Rattus norvegicus: one gene and its partners. The main gene of each other region encodes a partner of the protein of the gene in region 3 in a complex. Links are inferred from orthologs where the notes say so. Each region holds a gene or a part of one and is shown on either strand. Other genes may lie near its edges.

Region 1 (4,250 bases), on a different chromosome or scaffold from region 3:
CTACTTAGGATCAGTCTCACTTTAATCCAGTAATTATACTTGCAGAGATGATGAAGAGGATTTGCTGAGGAAGTCTTAACTTTAACGTGACGTTGTTGTCTGGAAGTTTTTGTTTTTTCCTGGACTTTGAATCTTTTCCCCCAGTGTCCTCACTTTCATACTGTGGGGGAGGCAGTGGAATTACGAAGAGAGGAGAGTTGCTACAAGGCTCAACAAGAAAAAGATCACTCAAATTTCACCAGAAATCTATGCAGAACAGGAAGCCTACTGGGTCTATTCTGACAAACTGTGATCCAAGTTGCTTTAATTTTCCCGAGTTACCTCACACTTGCAGGCTCCTAAGTCGGGATGGGGTGGAAGCAACACTTCTACTTTTGCAGGTAAAACTAGGGGATCACAGGCCCAAATCCCTTTCTTGAGGAGTAGCCACCCACAATGCTGCGGTCCCTGGGAAGCAAGGAAGCTAGTAGAACCAGCAGGTTTCAGATGTGGTCAGTGTTAGGACTATGTTGAGCCTCCTGCAGGATGCTTCAAAGTTACTTTCTTAGCTATGTTTAAGAGGCTAGGGCACTAAACCAGTTGTTCTGCTAGGCATTCACAATAAGCTCCGGCTTTATTCTCTACAAGTTAACAAGTTAACTCCAACAGCAAGAACTCAACAGTTTCTGTTGCATGGAAGCTACAACTTCTACAAAGATTAACACCTTGCATTACTTGGGGGAAAATGTGGTTCCCATATGGAGCTAGACTTTGCCCCTCCCCCGCTGCCCCTCCCCCGGGCGAGATTATTGACCCCTCGGAATTAATCTAGGGGTTCTCCAGGCGCTTGGATTTTGTTGTTGTTGTTATTGGTTTTGTTTGTTTGAATGCCAAAGTGTCTACAGCTTCGAGGGGGGATGGTGAAGGGCAGCCAAATGTCCATGCACTGCAAAGAGCCTGAAACACAGACGACCCGGAATCACTCATACGTCCGTCGTCGCAGAAATTTAGGAGAAGCGAATCCCTGCACCCAGCCAGCCATTTCCACTCTTGGGTTTTCAAAAGATCAAGAACCGGAAAGGACCTGCAAATTGGCAAATCTCTAAGAGGAACAGCCTAGCAGGTTTGCGTCCTTGGAATCTCAGCAGCTTGGGACCCCAAACCAAAGTCGTCGGTGGGAAACCCCAGGGAAAGAAGGGCTCTTGTAGAACGCTGGGGTTACTGAGTGCAGGCTGCAGGGAAGTACCTAGAGGGAGGGGGCCTGGTCGGGAGGACTTTCCAGCCACTCAGGGCTCATCAAAAAGTTCCCTGTACATGACCCCAGTGGCTCATCGTAGGGAGTTTCTCTGATGAACCCCGGCCCTGGGTTTAGGCTTCTCAGTCGAGGACGAGCCAGTTCTTTTTCTAGTCTGACTGGCTTGGAAATTCCCCGCGCCTGACCCCGCCCCTGAGAAATCCCCTGCCAGCGTTTATAGGGCGCCGAGGCGGCGCTGCCGAGCCCACAACAGTCTGAACTCGCCACCCAACTGCCAGCAGCCTGCACCCTGCACCCGCTCAGCTCCGCACAGCCATGTTTCAGCCAGCTGGGCACGGCCAGGACTGGGCCATGGAGGGCCCGCGGGACGGCCTCAAGAAGGAGCGGTTGGTGGACGACCGCCACGACAGCGGCTTGGACTCCATGAAGGACGAGGATTACGAGCAGATGGTGAAGGAGCTGCGGGAGATCCGCCTGCAGCCGCAGGAGGCGCCTCTGGCTGCCGAGCCCTGGAAGCAACAGCTCACGGAGGACGGAGACTCGTAAGTGGCGGCGGGCTCGGGCATGGGCACGGGCGGGGTCGCGCGGGGCCTGCACCGCGCTCGGGGCTCTGCACGGCGGGGCTGCGGGGCTACGGGGCTACAGAGCTGCGGGCGCCGGGCCGCCTGCCTCCCCATCCCCCCACCCCATTTCCCGGGACCCGGAGTAGCCGAGCGCAGGCCGGGGGCGGGGCGGCAACGAGGACGCAAAGTCCCCGCCTGGCAGAGTTTCCGCGCAGCCGCCGGGCGCTGCGCGGCCGCGAGGGGAAGTACAGGGCGTTCCGGGCGGCGGAGGGCGGGCCGGTCTGGCCGGCGCCCGCCCGGAGGGGGTGGGGCACGGAAAGTCCCTGGGCGGCTGCCAGGAACACTCAGCTCATAATAACCTCGCGGAAAACACCGCGGCCGCGGCCTCCAGAAACCCCGGCCTTGCGCAATCCCCCGCAGCCCGCGCCTCTCGGGGGCCCCACGCAGTGCGCTCACCACCCCTGGGGGGTTTCCCTGTCATCCCGCAGGTTCCTGCACTTGGCAATCATCCATGAAGAGAAGACACTGACCATGGAAGTGATTGGTCAGGTGAAGGGAGACCTGGCCTTCCTCAACTTCCAGAACAACCTGCAGCAGGTGCGGGCTTGCCCAGCTGTGCCCTCTTTGACCCCGTGGTGGAGTTAGATGAAGCTCAGTCGCCCCCAAAGCGTTTCTAAATTAACAGTCACGGTCCTTATCTGCCCTGGCCTTTTACATTCAAATTAGCCAAAGTCTTAGAGCAAGAAGGAAAATCCCAAGGGTTGGTTGAGGTCTTTATGACCCACGTAGGGCCTCCTGTTTGCCTGATCTCCTGTAGACAAATGGGAGGAGGGGATTCTGTAATAGGAGGTGTCTGGGGTTCAGGAAACTCAAGACTATGGGTTTGCTCCATGGCTTAGGCTCTTTCTGTTTCCTCTTCCATTCGTAGACTCCACTCCACTTGGCTGTGATCACCAACCAGCCAGGAATTGCTGAGGCACTTCTGAAAGCTGGCTGTGATCCTGAGCTCCGAGACTTTCGAGGAAATACCCCTCTCCATCTTGCCTGTGAGCAGGGCTGCCTGGCCAGTGTAGCAGTCTTGACTCAGACCTGTACGCCCCAGCATCTCCACTCCGTCCTGCAGGCCACCAACTACAACGGTAGGTCTGCCAGTCCATCCAGGGACGCAGAGAAGGGAGAGACGGGTCCCCTTGAGTCTAGCCTGGAGCTAAAACGCCTCAACGTATAAGAAGTTCAGGCAGTGTGGACTTTTAAAAAGTCTTCTCCATGATTCCTACATGACGTTCACTGAGAACCCAGACTTTTGAGTTCTTCAAAATTGAGGTTGTTTGTGGTTGTCCCCAAGAAAGGAGACGTGACTTGTGTGAGGATTGAAACAAGTGGTTACAGTTCCGTCTTATATCCTGCAGGCCACACGTGTCTACACTTAGCCTCTATCCATGGCTACCTGGGCATCGTGGAGCACTTGGTGACTTTGGGTGCTGATGTCAACGCTCAGGTGAGTACTTCCCCTTCCTCCTAAACTCTGCTGGGCTGGCTCTTACTGTGAGCAGATTTCCAGATAAACACTTCTGATTGCCTTTGGTTTCAGGAGCCCTGTAATGGCCGGACAGCCCTCCACCTTGCAGTGGACCTGCAGAATCCTGACCTGGTCTCGCTCCTGTTGAAGTGTGGGGCTGATGTCAACAGAGTAACCTACCAGGGCTACTCCCCCTACCAGCTTACGTGGGGCCGCCCAAGTACCCGGATACAGCAGCAGCTGGGCCAGCTGACCCTGGAAAATCTTCAGACGCTGCCCGAGAGTGAGGATGAGGAGAGCTATGACACGGAGTCAGAATTCACGGAAGATGAGGTGCGTGTTCATTACTGCCAGAGTGGTCCATTCTCCCTCACCACACCTAGGTCTGTTCTAGAGCTGTTCTGTATCATAGGGACCTGAGTTATTCAACTTCTCAGTCTCAGCTTGCAAAGCCAGGATCCCAAGAACGTGTCTCTGGTTTGCTTTAATAGCTTACCCTTGTGGGTTTCGGAATGGGGCAGTAAGAGGGAGTTGTGGGAATTGAACCCAGGCTTTAACACGTGGTAATAGGCACATGTTCTACCATTGAGCTATGTCCCCTGCAATAGCTTAGACTTTTGAAAGGAGAGAATTGGTGAAGGGAACTCCTGCAGCCCGGCGCCTGCGTTCTGTTTAGGCTGAGGAGGAGAGAGTCCAGGAATGGGAGTTATTTGTAGAAGCAGCTCTCCCGCCATCCCAATGGCTTGGCGAAGTTCTAGGAATCTAATGTGCCTTTTTCCCTCTCTTGTTCCAGTTGCCCTACGATGACTGTGTGTTTGGAGGCCAGCGTCTGACGTTATAAGAGGAAAGTGGCCAAAGGAACGTGGACTTGTATATTTGTACAAATAGAGTTTTATTTTTCTAAAAAAAAAAAAGAAAAAGAAAAAAAAATAAG
Region 2 (3,634 bases), about 71 Mb from region 3:
AACTTGTGTACTGCAACACAGTCTATTGTGAGGGAAATTTATGATTTTTTTTCATGCAAAAATCTACACAAATTAGTTTTGATGATATGGAAAGCTTTTCATAGCATCAAACACTCATCTGGTGCAAATGCACAGGGAAACCTTCCTGAAGTTTTCTGACTTGAGAAGCAACTAAAAAAGCCATACTAGGTAAAGTAAATAAAAACTAAATAAAAAAAGGGTTGGGGTCGGGTGGGGTGGGGTGGGGTGGGGTGGGGGTAAGGTAGAGGGAGAATAGACAACACAGGCTGCAGAGTAAACCAGTGTCTGCTGCTAAACCGGTCTTTGTTCTCATGTCCAGTGTACATTAACACTTGGGATCTCACTTTGATGATCTACTAGGTTTGTTATCAGCCCCCTGAAGGCAAATCAAGCTTGCATGCGTCCACATACAGCACCACAACCATACTCTCTTACACAGTCACTCCAGGACTAGGAGTCTGCTTCATGCGTGAAGAGCCCTAGATTTGAAAGATGAACCTGGCTCTTTCTCTACCACGGAGCCAGACATTCATTCAACACTGTTCATTCATACACTGCTTCACAGCGAGGCCTGGGCTCATTTTCCTTGACTTATATGGGCATCGCTTTTATGCTTACAAGGCTTGATGATGATGGCATTTCACTTCTCAATTGATAGAGTAAGTCAATGCTCCGTCTCAGGCACCGAAGTGACCTGTAGCCCTTTACTCTCAACCTAAATAAGCATTTGTGTCACGCTTTCCTTACATTGCCACTCATTCTCACTCGCACCCACTCGCCACCTTGACTCATTTGGGCATTTTCTGTGATTCCAAATGAAATCTTCACATTTTCTCTCCCGATTTAATGCAGCAGCAGATCCCATGAGCCAAGCTTGATGGATCAAACCTTTTTATATATATGTGTATATATATATATATTTCTCGGTGCTGCATTGTACCTAACTTCCACAACATCTCTCTAAAACTGGAACCCCTCTGTTGGTACATTGGTAGATGAATTGAAACCAAATGTTCCACCTTGAACTGACTCTGGAACAAGGCTAGGATCTTCATCAATCTGAAGGAAAAGAGGAAAAAACAATGAGATGATTAGTCTTAAAGTATAAAAAACCTGAATCACAGTAATAGTCCCATTATTCTCTAAAAAGATAGACCACATCTAAGTGATGAGTGTCTGCCAAGAATGTACTACCATCCTAACACCTGTAAACTCCTTCCTTAAGGGCTGTGAAGAAACAAGAATATACATGATGGACACCTTATGAAATAGAACACTGGAGCCGGCCTCAGACTCTAAATGCGAGGGTAAATACTGGTACTCACTGTAACTCCTCTTATATCTAAGACAGTGTAAGGAAGTATACTCTCTTATACTTGGGAGGCGTGGTGGCACATGCACTGACCTCGGCACTTGGGAAGGGAAAGCGAAGAACTACCTGTGAGTTTCATCTACACGGGGAGTTCTAGGTCATCCAGTGATACACAATATAAGAACCTGCCTCAAAAAGCACAACCCGAATCTTCAAACAAACAAACATGTATTAGCAGGAGTAAATGCACTCTTTATACTTTTAGAACTGTGTAACTCTGCTATTCCTAACTACAACTTAGGACTTCCAAATTGAATATTTGGGTGGTGGTGGCACAGGCCTTTAATCCCAGTATTTGGGAGGCAGTGGCAAGTGGATCTCTGTGAATTGGAGGACAGCCTGGTCTACAAGCACAAGTTACAGGACAGCGAGAACTGTTATACAAAGAAACCCAGTCTTGAAAAACAAAAACAAAACAAACAAAAGGGGACATGATTAAGACCATCTTTCCTTGAGAGTATGTTTTGTCTGGATCTTATTTATGATGTATTTAACTGCATATTTAAATAAGATTTGTGTCGACATCCTTTTTCTATTTGTTTGGGTTTTAGAAACCAGTGGGTCCACCACAAGAGTAGTAAGTGCTCTTAACTGCCGAGTGAACTCTCCAGGCTGGTTTTCTCTATTTGCTTGGTTGCATCCATCCATCCATCCATCCATCCATCCATCCATCCATCCATCCACCCACCCACCCACCCACCATCTATCATGTGGGGGCATATGCCACATGGGATACATGTGGAGGTCAGGGGACAACTTGGGAGAGTTGGGGTGCTCTCCTTCCATCACATAGGATGGTTCTGGGTACTGAATTTAGATTGTCAGCCTTTACTCTATGAGTCCCCTTGTTAGTCCTATGGTCTAATAGCCTATGATTTTCTTTTTCTAATGCTTTATTCTTTTTAGTAATGTGGAAATGTGTTATGAAACTAGAGTTCTTAAAAATTTTGGTTATTTACATGGGCATTTTGCCTGCATGTATGTCTGTGAATCACAGGGGTAGCTGGTACTCAGGAAAGCAAGAAGGCGGCTTTGGATTCCCTGGAATTAGAGCTACAGATGGTTGTGAGCCACCAAGTAGGAGCTGGTAATTGACCCTGGGTTCTCTGGAAGAGAAGCCGGGCCTCTTAACATCTTCCTCCCAGTGCATTTCTCCAGCCCTGAAACTTGTATCTTGAAAAGTTGAAAACATAATTCATATAGAGTGTAGTGGTGTGTGCCTTACACCCAAAAGGAGCACTTGGAAGGCTAGATAGGAAGACTGCTCCAAGTTCAAAGGACAGTCAGGCATATACAGCAAAACATTTTTTAATAAAACCCAACCAAATAAACAATCCTTTACTTACAATTGTTATTTGGTGGTACTATGAATAAATGTAACTTTGTAACATTCCACATCATATTGTATATACCGTTCATTTTCATGATTTACTGTGCTCATCTTGTTTCGTCATCTTATTTGATTTTAACCACCAACAAAATTACACTTGAACATATGGATTAAGGGGTTACTGTAGGTTATACTAGTACTACTAGTTTTGTTTGCTTGACTTTTGATTTCTTTTTTGAGGCAGAGTTTCACATAGTCCAGGCTGGCCTTGAAATCACTACATAGCCAAGAACACCCTTCAATTCATTTCCTAGTCTTTCTTCTGCATTAGCTCTGAAGTGGTGGAATTATAGTTGAGTGCCATTATGCTTGGTATCACTATTTTCTGTTTCGTTTATAGACATACTATTACCAATTTAAATGCGTGAGAACTGGAAAGAAATCAGCTTATCCAGTGCAACAAAAATTCTTATTGTTTTGTTCTTGAGTTAATGTCCTAACCAGATTTAAAAATACTAAAATTTGTTTTCAAAGACAGTAATATTATTGTCACATACCTATTAAGACTTCTATTGAAAAAATTTTTATATATACATCCTAGTTTACTATATTCTTTCATTCAGATTTGCTTAGCATATAAAACTAAGAAAATGATAAACATATTAAGTACATCATCTGAAGAGAAGAACTGGTCAATGATCTCATAGGCCAATTTGTAGATGTCCTCATTTTCATGATTCTGAAGTTGTTCAATTTTCTCCAGTCCTGCAAGAAATTTTATGAAGTGAACAATAGCAATTAATGTGTTGCTAGAAGTTACAGTAACTTTGAAACACATAATGCAATCTCTGTACTATAAAATTTCTGGGTTATCGTCTTTAGGGGTCATTTCACTGATGAGCTTATACTGA
Region 3 (3,561 bases):
TATCCATCAGTTCCATGGACAGCTTGTTTGTTCTCATTGCTTCTGAGGAGAATGCTGCAGTAAGCACCTGCACCATGCCTACCTGTCCATCTGTGACAGAAGCGGGTTACTAGGACAGTTTGAACACTGAGCTCCACAGATCGATTCTAGGGATATCTTGAGACACACATTTTATACGAGTTTAAGATACAATCCTAGGGGTTAAGATCTAGACACCTAAAGTATCACCGTGGTGATTTGTGTTGGTGGCCCACCTGCCGCTGCCTCTCCAGCGGGAACTAATTATTCCCTGAATGGGAGTCCTCACTACGCAGCCTGGAGTTCACTGTAAAGCTCCAGCGAGACAGACTGGCTGACACTGAAAGGTGTCACTCTCCATCAGTGACCTCAGTTCTTTGACGGACACTTTCATGATTGTGTTGACCTTGCTCGTTTCTGAAAACAGTTTTCCATGCATCCTCCTTACACCCACGGAAGCACAACTTTGTAGTCAGGGTAGTCAGAAAGACTTTCCTGTGCCTTTTATGCACAGTAGCTGGGGTTGTTTTCCGCCTGAGCTTTCTTGGGGCGAGTGTTGTATTGGGTGGCTGTGCCAAGGAGAACCCGGCAATACCTTTGGTAGCACGGCAGTATCGCTTGTAACTGTGGCTCTCTTGAAGCCAGCCTGTAGCACCGTGTTCTGGTTTAGCATGTGTATTTCCATACTATTGTGAAGGACGGCCCCTTTCTTGATTGCTTTCTTTTAATAGTGTATTTACATTTCCTTGTTAAAACCACAGCATTGGGGGCTGCAAAGATGGCTCAGTGGTTAAGAGCACTGACTGCTCTTCCAGAGGTCCTGAGTTCAAATCCCAGCAACCACACGGTGGCTCACAACCATCTGTAATGGGATCTGGTGCCCTCTTCTGGTGTGTCTGAGGACAGCGATAATGTACTTATATATAATAAATAAATGAATCTTAAAGAAAAAAAAAAACACAGCATTGGTTGGATTTGACAATGTGTAGAATTACCAGGTATAGATTCCTATCAGAAATTCAAAAAAGCTTAATTTTACTTCTACATGGCTTAAAAAATCATTTAGTAAAACTACTAAGCATTTTAAGTTTATTCTATAACCCTGACTGTTGGATGCTGGTGCCCTTCTTGGGCCTTTGAGCCTGGCATGTGGAACAGAAAGCCCCTTGAATGACAGATGTCCCTGCAGCGTGACTCCATGGCATAGTTCTGAAGCCAGGGGTTACAGATGTTCATAACCAACGGCTCTCCTGCTCCTTCTCTATGTAGACACCTTTGCACTTGGCCGTGATCACCAAGCAGGAAGATGTGGTGGAGGACTTGCTGAGGGTTGGGGCTGACCTGAGTCTTCTGGACCGCTGGGGCAACTCTGTCCTGCACCTAGCTGCCAAAGAAGGACATGATAAAATCCTCGGGGTCCTACTCAAGAACAGCAAGGCAGCACTCCTTATCAACCACCCCAACGGGGAAGGTAAGGGCAGTCACGCTGCTGGCTAACCTTCCCCTGCCGGCTGCTGCAGAAGAGCTTGGCATTTGGTAAATGTATCTGACTTTCACCATACTCCCCTCTGCCAGCCGGAGTTCCTCAGATGTCGTGGTTATTTCTGCTGTTTACCCTTAAAGATGACTCGGGAAAGTTACTTAGTAAGTGGGAAAGCAGGCCTGGGCAAACACTAGTCTTACAGAAAGCATCACATATGTGGAGAATGTTTATTTGGTAGCTCATTGTCTCCCGTGAGCACAATAGGAGCTCGTGGCTTCTAAAAACAGAACAGTGGACCTTCTGAGCCTTTGAAGCAAGCCCTGAACAAAAACCGGAAGTGCCGTGACCTGGCGGTGTCCCTCCTCCCCACAGCCCAGCTCTGGCAACCTTGCCCACATCTCTGCCTTTGCTTGGCCTTAGGTCTGAATGCCATTCACATAGCTGTGATGAGCAACAGCCTGTCATGTCTGCAGCTGCTTGTGGCTGCTGGGGCAGAAGTCAACGCTCAGGAGCAGAAGTCTGGGCGCACGGCACTGCACCTGGCCGTGGAGTACGACAACATCTCGTTGGCCGGCTGCCTGCTCCTGGAGGTAAAGGACGCCCTTGTGATCTTGAACTAAACGCCCTCAAGGAACTTTGCAAAGAGTGACGCTAGGACCAGCTGTGCTGTCAGCATTCAGCTCTGCCTGGCATCTGCTGGTGCTCAGAGAGGCCACTTCCTGCGTCCCCACCTCCAGCCCAGCTCCCTAACTGGGGGACTTCTCCAGTGACAGAGCCAGCTCAGTCTAGCAATTGGGCTAACAATATAACCTGAGGATCCATGGAGATATGGAGGTAGACAAATGAGCCTTCTGCTAACTCTCTCTTTGTGGGTGGGTTTAGGGTGACGCCCTCGTGGACAGCACCACCTACGATGGGACGACACCTCTACACATAGCAGCTGGAAGAGGGTCCACCAGGCTGGCAGCTCTTCTCAAAGCAGCAGGTAAGATGCTGCTGGTCACTGATGGACATCAGCAAAGCAAACTCTGCCTGCAAGTGCAATGCTGCCTTTGGAAGCTGCACTTCTGCTCTGGGGAAGCCTGGGTAAATGAAAACCGCATGGCTGGTCACACTTCAGCTGCAGTGAGGCTCAGTGTGGCCTGATAACCTGGGGTTGACACCTGTGTTAGTTTCCTCCCCCTGGTTAGCTGTCTATGTCGGGTTGTTCAGGTTGACTCAGTGACTATAAAATCTTAAGCTCTGTCAGTTTCTGGTCCTATTACAAGTCTCCCAGAAGGAACATATCTAAAGACTTCCTTTTGCAAAAAGAGTCTCCTAGAAGCCAAAGTCGTAGGAAAAGCAAACGGGCCATGTATTCGTATTATTGTGCATGAGGCCTTTCCTGTGTTCCAGGCACCGTGTTGACATCTCACATGCAGCCTCCTTTAGCACACGTAATCCTCAGTAACTCTGAGACAAGACATGTTGCTATTCCTATCTTAGATCCAAGTAGGCAGACTGGAGAGGTGATCAAGCCCCACTCCCAGTGTCTCAGAGAGCTGTGAGTCACAGCGCCACAGCCCAACCTGCAGACTTATCCTCCACACAGTGTTCCTCTCAGTTGGCCTGGGGTTCTTGGGTTCTTCTGGTTAGCTCCCTAGTCCTGTAAAGCACAGGGAGACATTGCAGCTCAGCTCCTGTCTCCAGTGCCTAGTGTGTTTAGTGTTAACACATGGTGGGTGAGATTGGCATTCCGGGCCTGTCCAGACATAACCTGACTTACCTCAGAGGTTGATAAGGGAAGATTTGTGGACGACACACTCTTCACAGATTCAGGCAAAGAGGCCCTGGTTGTGTTGTGCGTGAGTCATTTTGGAAATCACTTACTATGCTGAAGAGAAAAAAAAAATGTTGTCTCTTAGTCAGACATAGTGACGTACACCTGAAATCTCAACTTTTAGAAAGCTGAGGCAGGAGAATTGCCACAAGCTTAGGTTACCTTGGTCTACATAGTTCCAGGCCAAACCAAGATGCCTAGGGAGGTCCTGTCTCAACAGTAAATGCATGAATAGAATGGC
Region 4 (4,160 bases), on a different chromosome or scaffold from region 3:
ATTAAATTAAAACGTAATGTGTTTTCATGTATACTTATTTTAATTTCTATTTATTTATTCATTTTATTTATTTATGAACATCAATGTTTTTGTCTGCATGTAATTATGTACCTGACTTGTGTGTCTGGTGCCTTCAGAGGCCAGAAGAGGGCATTATTAGATGCTTTGGAACTGGAGTTACAGATGGTTAGAAGCCACCACGAGGGTGTTGGGAATTGAACCCCACCCTTATCTTATGAAAGAACACCCAGTCCTCTTATCTGCTGAGCTATCTCTTTGGCCCTAGGTACAGTTTTTAATTTCTATCTCACATTTTTTTTTCAGTAAAAATAATCCCATGTCATTTCTGAGGACCCTACAGAATGGCTATGACAACCTTAGGAGCTGTCTAGTCAGACCGCCCTCCCCTCCCCCGCCATCTGTTGGTCCACATCTGGGTATGAACAGCACCCAAGTGTTAGGGTCAGGAGGTGGGAATGCAGTGGAGAGCAATGGAAGCCACAGTTCAAACCACCACTGGTTGTTGCAGATGAATGTCATACAAAACCTCCCTTAACGTAGCCATCAGAGGCCACACTGCCTATTCTTTATTGTAAGACACAGGGCAAAATGGTGTGGCAGGCTGCTCTGATGACACCTGGACCATGGCTGATCCTCAATAGTAAGAACTTGGTGAGATTACATGAAAAACAGGACAAGCTGCATTTCAAACACTCTCAAGGGGTCCCCCCAAAAGCTATGAGTCAAAACCAGGCAAAACTACTCAAAATACTGAAAAAGTGGCTCACAATCCTAATCTTTGGCTTCAGGGAACACGAAGTACAGAGGCAGGGATGTGCGAACTTCACCAACAAGTTTTCTTTTGCAGATGTGTAAGCTTGCCTGGAGTATTGGCTTGAAGACTATTCATACAACATTCAAAATTGCAAGTCACAATTTCTAGCTCCAGAAACCAATAACCACAGTTGGCAAGTGTCTTTGTCACTTACACCAATAACCTGGAGACAAAACACACCTGGAGTAGACTGGAGCAGATGCTACTCTCTCTCTCTTGTCTCAAATATACCCAGCCAGGGGCTGGCAAGATGGCTCAGCAGATTAAAGTGCTTGCCACCACGACCAAGGAACCGAGTTCAATACCCATGACCCACAAGGTAGAAGCGAGTCAACCCTCTCAAATTGTCCTCTGACCTCCGAAAATGGATGCCCCACCCCATACGTGAATGTGAACCAAAACAGAAAGTCCCCAACAACAACAAAACCATAATCAGCCCAAAGGACAATACAAAGTGTTCTTTGCTTTTTTTGAGACAGTCCAGTCTCTTGAGTGCTAGTGACTAGAGACATGGCCAACACCCTGGTCTAACATGTGTTCTGTGAAGCACTCAGCAAAGTGCCTTGTGTGTAGTTCAACAAATAGTTTTATTCATAAAAATAAATAAACAAGGCAAACATCTGCTGATTTCTGCTCCATTATATCATAGCCTATTATTCCACTCCTGTGTGGTGACAGACCCCAAGGGCCTTTAACTACCCACACAGTCCTCAGAAACACGGCTATTCTGCATGGCTAAATCAATCAACCTAAGCCCATCAGATGAAATTCATGTGTATTCAGTTAACTTCTGACTCTGGGGCAACTCTTAAAGTCTTGGTAATAGCTTTTTGGAGCCCAAGCTTTTTATGAATAACTGGTTTCCTGTCACCAATGTACACACACCTCTCCTACTGGAATGGCAAAGGTTTCATAAGTAGGGCAGTTTAAACAGATAAGGACCCAACTGGCTGCTGGGACTAATACAACTGGTAGTGGGTGGCTTCTGAGCAAACTTCTGTACTGAGACCCAACCAGATGCTCAAAACTGGAGGGCGCTGACTTGCCTTCCACGGACTTCCTAGTTTAAGGTTGAACTTGTGAGACAGTCTTCCACACATCAATTCCCACCCCCAATCCCCTTTCACTTTCCATTTAATAAATACTGCCCGAGTAGTTACAGTGTAACAGGCTCTGGGTTTCCCAATCTGGAGGATATTTTGGTTCTCAGTAACTTTCGAATATGGTAACAGTTTTTCCCTTGGGTATTTTTTTTCTTTTCCCAAAGGGCAGAACCACCAGGACTTTGTACTGGACTACTGCCAGGGGAAGAAGAGCCCTGGTTCCAGCAAAGCTTACGGGAGGGTCAATCACCGAATTCTTAAGGCTGCGAGGCCCCTGGGCCCAGCCATAGGGGACTGAGTCATTCCAAAGCCAGAGCTGCCGGAAACACGCCTTGCGCCGCAGGAGGAGGAGTCTCTCGGGCGCGGCCTGGACCTTTTTCCCTAGCAGTCACCTAGGTACCCCGTCCGATGGTTTCTAACTGGGACCCGGGACCCACACCCATACACCGACCCGGCCAGCGTCCTCTAGGCGGCGGGCCACTGATAGAGGAAAACTATGGCCGAGCCCTGAGGTACAGCACACCCGCGCGGTGTATAGCACCCCGTACGCGAGGAGTGGCGACTCTCCATCTTCTCCCAGACCCGAATCCTGATTCAGTTGGGGCATAGGGCGAGCTGTCACTGGAGGACCCCCGTCCATCACTTCACCTCCGCCAGATTTAGGGTGGCAGTAGGGAGTGCAGCTCAGGTGCTGCCTAAGCGTGCACCTTCGGTACCAGGCGTTCCAGGGTCTCTCTGTCCCCTCCCCCAGGGCGTGCTCCACAGCCCAGAGCGCACACAGGCCCTGGGCCGCTCAGCCGGCAGGGATACCGAGGGTGTCTACTGAGCACCGCGGGGTGAGCGCGGGGCCGGGGCACGCATACCTTGCTCTCGATCAGCTTCACCATTTTGGCTGTTGCGGGGAGGGAGCCACACGAGTTTCGGCAGAACCCGATGGAAATGGATCCTAGGCACCCAACGGAGCTTGCAGCCGAGTGCGGCGCCCGCCTTCTCTTTATAGAGACAGGGCGGAGCGCGGCGGGGCGGGGCGGACGGGCACGCGCGGCGGGGACGAGCTCCCTCGCCTCCCGCGCCCGCCAAGGCGCCCCGGCAGGCCGCGCCCAGACCACGCCCCCAAAAGGTGGGGCGGTTTCCAAGGGGCGGGGCCAGAACAGGCCACTTGAGCAGCTCAGGGACTGTCCTAGTGCTGGCCTCGCTCCTGGCTGCCGTGCTCTAAGCCGCGGAACCAGAACCTTGGTTTCCAGGGGCGGAGCTAGCGCAGGCGCCTGAAGCAGCTTCGGGCTCTTCAGGCTCCAGACGCTGTCCTGCTCTCACCCCTTGGAAACCGTGTGTCCAGCTGCCCCAAGGACACTTTCACTGCGCACGGTGCCCGGAGGTAGATCGCGGCTCCCTTTCACACAGTAGAGCCCCTCTGGAATCACGTTGACCATGCCCCAAACAAATCTAAGTCAGATACTTCCAGACTGGGGCTGGGGACAACCCTAGGACTGCCCAGGCAGAGGTGTATCTTTCGACTAGGGCGGCCATGCTGCGGTTTGCCTCAAAGTGCTGAGTAACGATGACCAGGAAGTATCTCAGTGAGCGCCCTCGCTAACTTTCTGGGTAGTTCTTTGCCACTTCTTTCGCCTCTCCTTCATATTTCTTAACTTTAACAAGTGAACCTGCTACCGGAGAGGCACAGAGCCGTTTAGAGCCCCTGTTTTGTGCCCCATGCATATGCAGGCATGATAGAGATCGGATCGTCCAGCTCCCAGCGTTGTCTTGAAGGATTTAAAGAGCTTGAAAATGGACCAGGACAGCGCTTGGCCCATAAGGAAGCACTCAATAAATTATTGTAATTATAGTCATCGTGAGCGCTAATTAAGCTTGCGTGGTGCCGTGTGGGGCCTTGCTGAATTTGCCTGCCTTGTATTTACAATGACAGTATATAAGCATTGAGAATTTTCTGCCTGGGAGACCCCAGGAAGCGTGTTTGTCAATGATTACTGGGGTGGTGTGCAGGAGGACGGGGCAGCGTGGTGGAAGCTAAGACACGGTTAAGGTGTCTTTGTGCAGCCTGGAGTGCCCCTCTGCTGAAGAAGCTGAGGTGGAGACTGGCCAGAGCCAGCATGCTGGGAGGAACTTGCCTAGCCTGAGTTTGTGGAGCAGAGCTAACCTAGCTAAATCTGCATCCGGAGATGAGGTACTGGAGATGCTGAAATTGTTTTCCAGCCACCCTACCC

The links.
Region 1: the proteins of Nfkb1 (region 3) and Nfkbia are in contact, whole or in part, in a crystal structure (PDB 1NFI), measured with the Homo sapiens proteins. The link is inferred for Rattus norvegicus from reciprocal best matches to the Homo sapiens genes NFKB1 and NFKBIA. Residues at the interface, in NP_001158884.1 of Homo sapiens: Lys251, Ile252, Val253, Arg254, Met255, Asp256, Arg257, Thr258, Ala259, Pro326, Lys345, Leu348, Tyr350, Ile353; in NP_065390.1 of Homo sapiens: Asn108, Asn109, Leu110, Gln111, Arg140, Tyr181, Pro214, Cys215, Asn216, Arg218, Tyr248, Gln249.
Region 2: the proteins of Nfkb1 (region 3) and Kpna4 are in contact, whole or in part, in a crystal structure (PDB 7LFC), measured with the Homo sapiens proteins. The link is inferred for Rattus norvegicus from reciprocal best matches to the Homo sapiens genes NFKB1 and KPNA4. Residues at the interface, in NP_001158884.1 of Homo sapiens: Glu357, Glu358, Val359, Gln360, Arg361, Lys362, Arg363, Gln364, Lys365, Leu366, Met367; in NP_002259.1 of Homo sapiens: Arg96, Lys97, Leu99, Ser100, Ser101, Asp102, Arg103, Pro105, Phe133, Trp137, Thr140, Asn141, Ala143, Ser144, Gly145, Thr146, Ser147, Thr150, Gln176, Trp179, Gly182, Asn183, Gly186, Asp187, Asn219, Trp222, Val225, Asn226, Arg229, His230.
Region 4: the proteins of Nfkb1 (region 3) and Txn1 are in contact, whole or in part, in an NMR structure (PDB 1MDI), measured with the Homo sapiens proteins. The link is inferred for Rattus norvegicus from reciprocal best matches to the Homo sapiens genes NFKB1 and TXN. Residues at the interface, in NP_001158884.1 of Homo sapiens: Arg56, Phe57, Arg58, Tyr59, Val60, Cys61, Glu62, Gly63, Pro64; in NP_003320.2 of Homo sapiens: Thr30, Trp31, Cys32, Pro34, Met37, Ile38, Asp58, Val59, Asp60, Asp61, Gln63, Ala66, Ser67, Val71, Lys72, Pro75, Ser90, Gly91, Ala92.

The regions. Positions count from the first base shown.
Region 1 is NC_086024.1:78,594,253-78,598,502, reverse strand, and holds the start of Nfkbia (NF-kappa-B inhibitor alpha), read left to right. Parts: upstream 1-1,430; 5' UTR 1,431-1,549; coding exon 1,550-1,776; intron 1,777-2,285; coding exon 2,286-2,394; intron 2,395-2,725; coding exon 2,726-2,936; intron 2,937-3,206; coding exon 3,207-3,295; intron 3,296-3,388; coding exon 3,389-3,649; coding exon of another isoform or gene 3,650-3,736; exon of another isoform or gene 3,737-4,109; coding exon 4,110-4,157; 3' UTR 4,158-4,250. UniProt on the Homo sapiens protein: Inhibits the activity of dimeric NF-kappa-B/REL complexes by trapping REL (RELA/p65 and NFKB1/p50) dimers in the cytoplasm by masking their nuclear localization signals.
Region 2 is NC_086020.1:155,635,145-155,638,778, forward strand, and holds the end of Kpna4 (importin subunit alpha-3), read right to left. Parts: intron 3,489-3,634; coding exon 3,394-3,488; intron 1,081-3,393; coding exon 982-1,080; 3' UTR 535-981; downstream 1-534. UniProt on the Homo sapiens protein: Functions in nuclear protein import as an adapter protein for nuclear receptor KPNB1. Binds specifically and directly to substrates containing either a simple or bipartite NLS motif.
Region 3 is NC_086020.1:226,697,417-226,700,977, reverse strand, and holds part of Nfkb1 (nuclear factor NF-kappa-B p105 subunit), read left to right. Parts: intron 1-1,287; coding exon 1,288-1,489; intron 1,490-1,921; coding exon 1,922-2,091; intron 2,092-2,383; coding exon 2,384-2,486; intron 2,487-3,561.
Region 4 is NC_086023.1:77,516,861-77,521,020, forward strand, and holds the start of Txn1 (thioredoxin), read right to left. Parts: upstream 2,826-4,160; coding exon 2,802-2,825; intron 1-2,801. UniProt on the Homo sapiens protein: Participates in various redox reactions through the reversible oxidation of its active center dithiol to a disulfide and catalyzes dithiol-disulfide exchange reactions.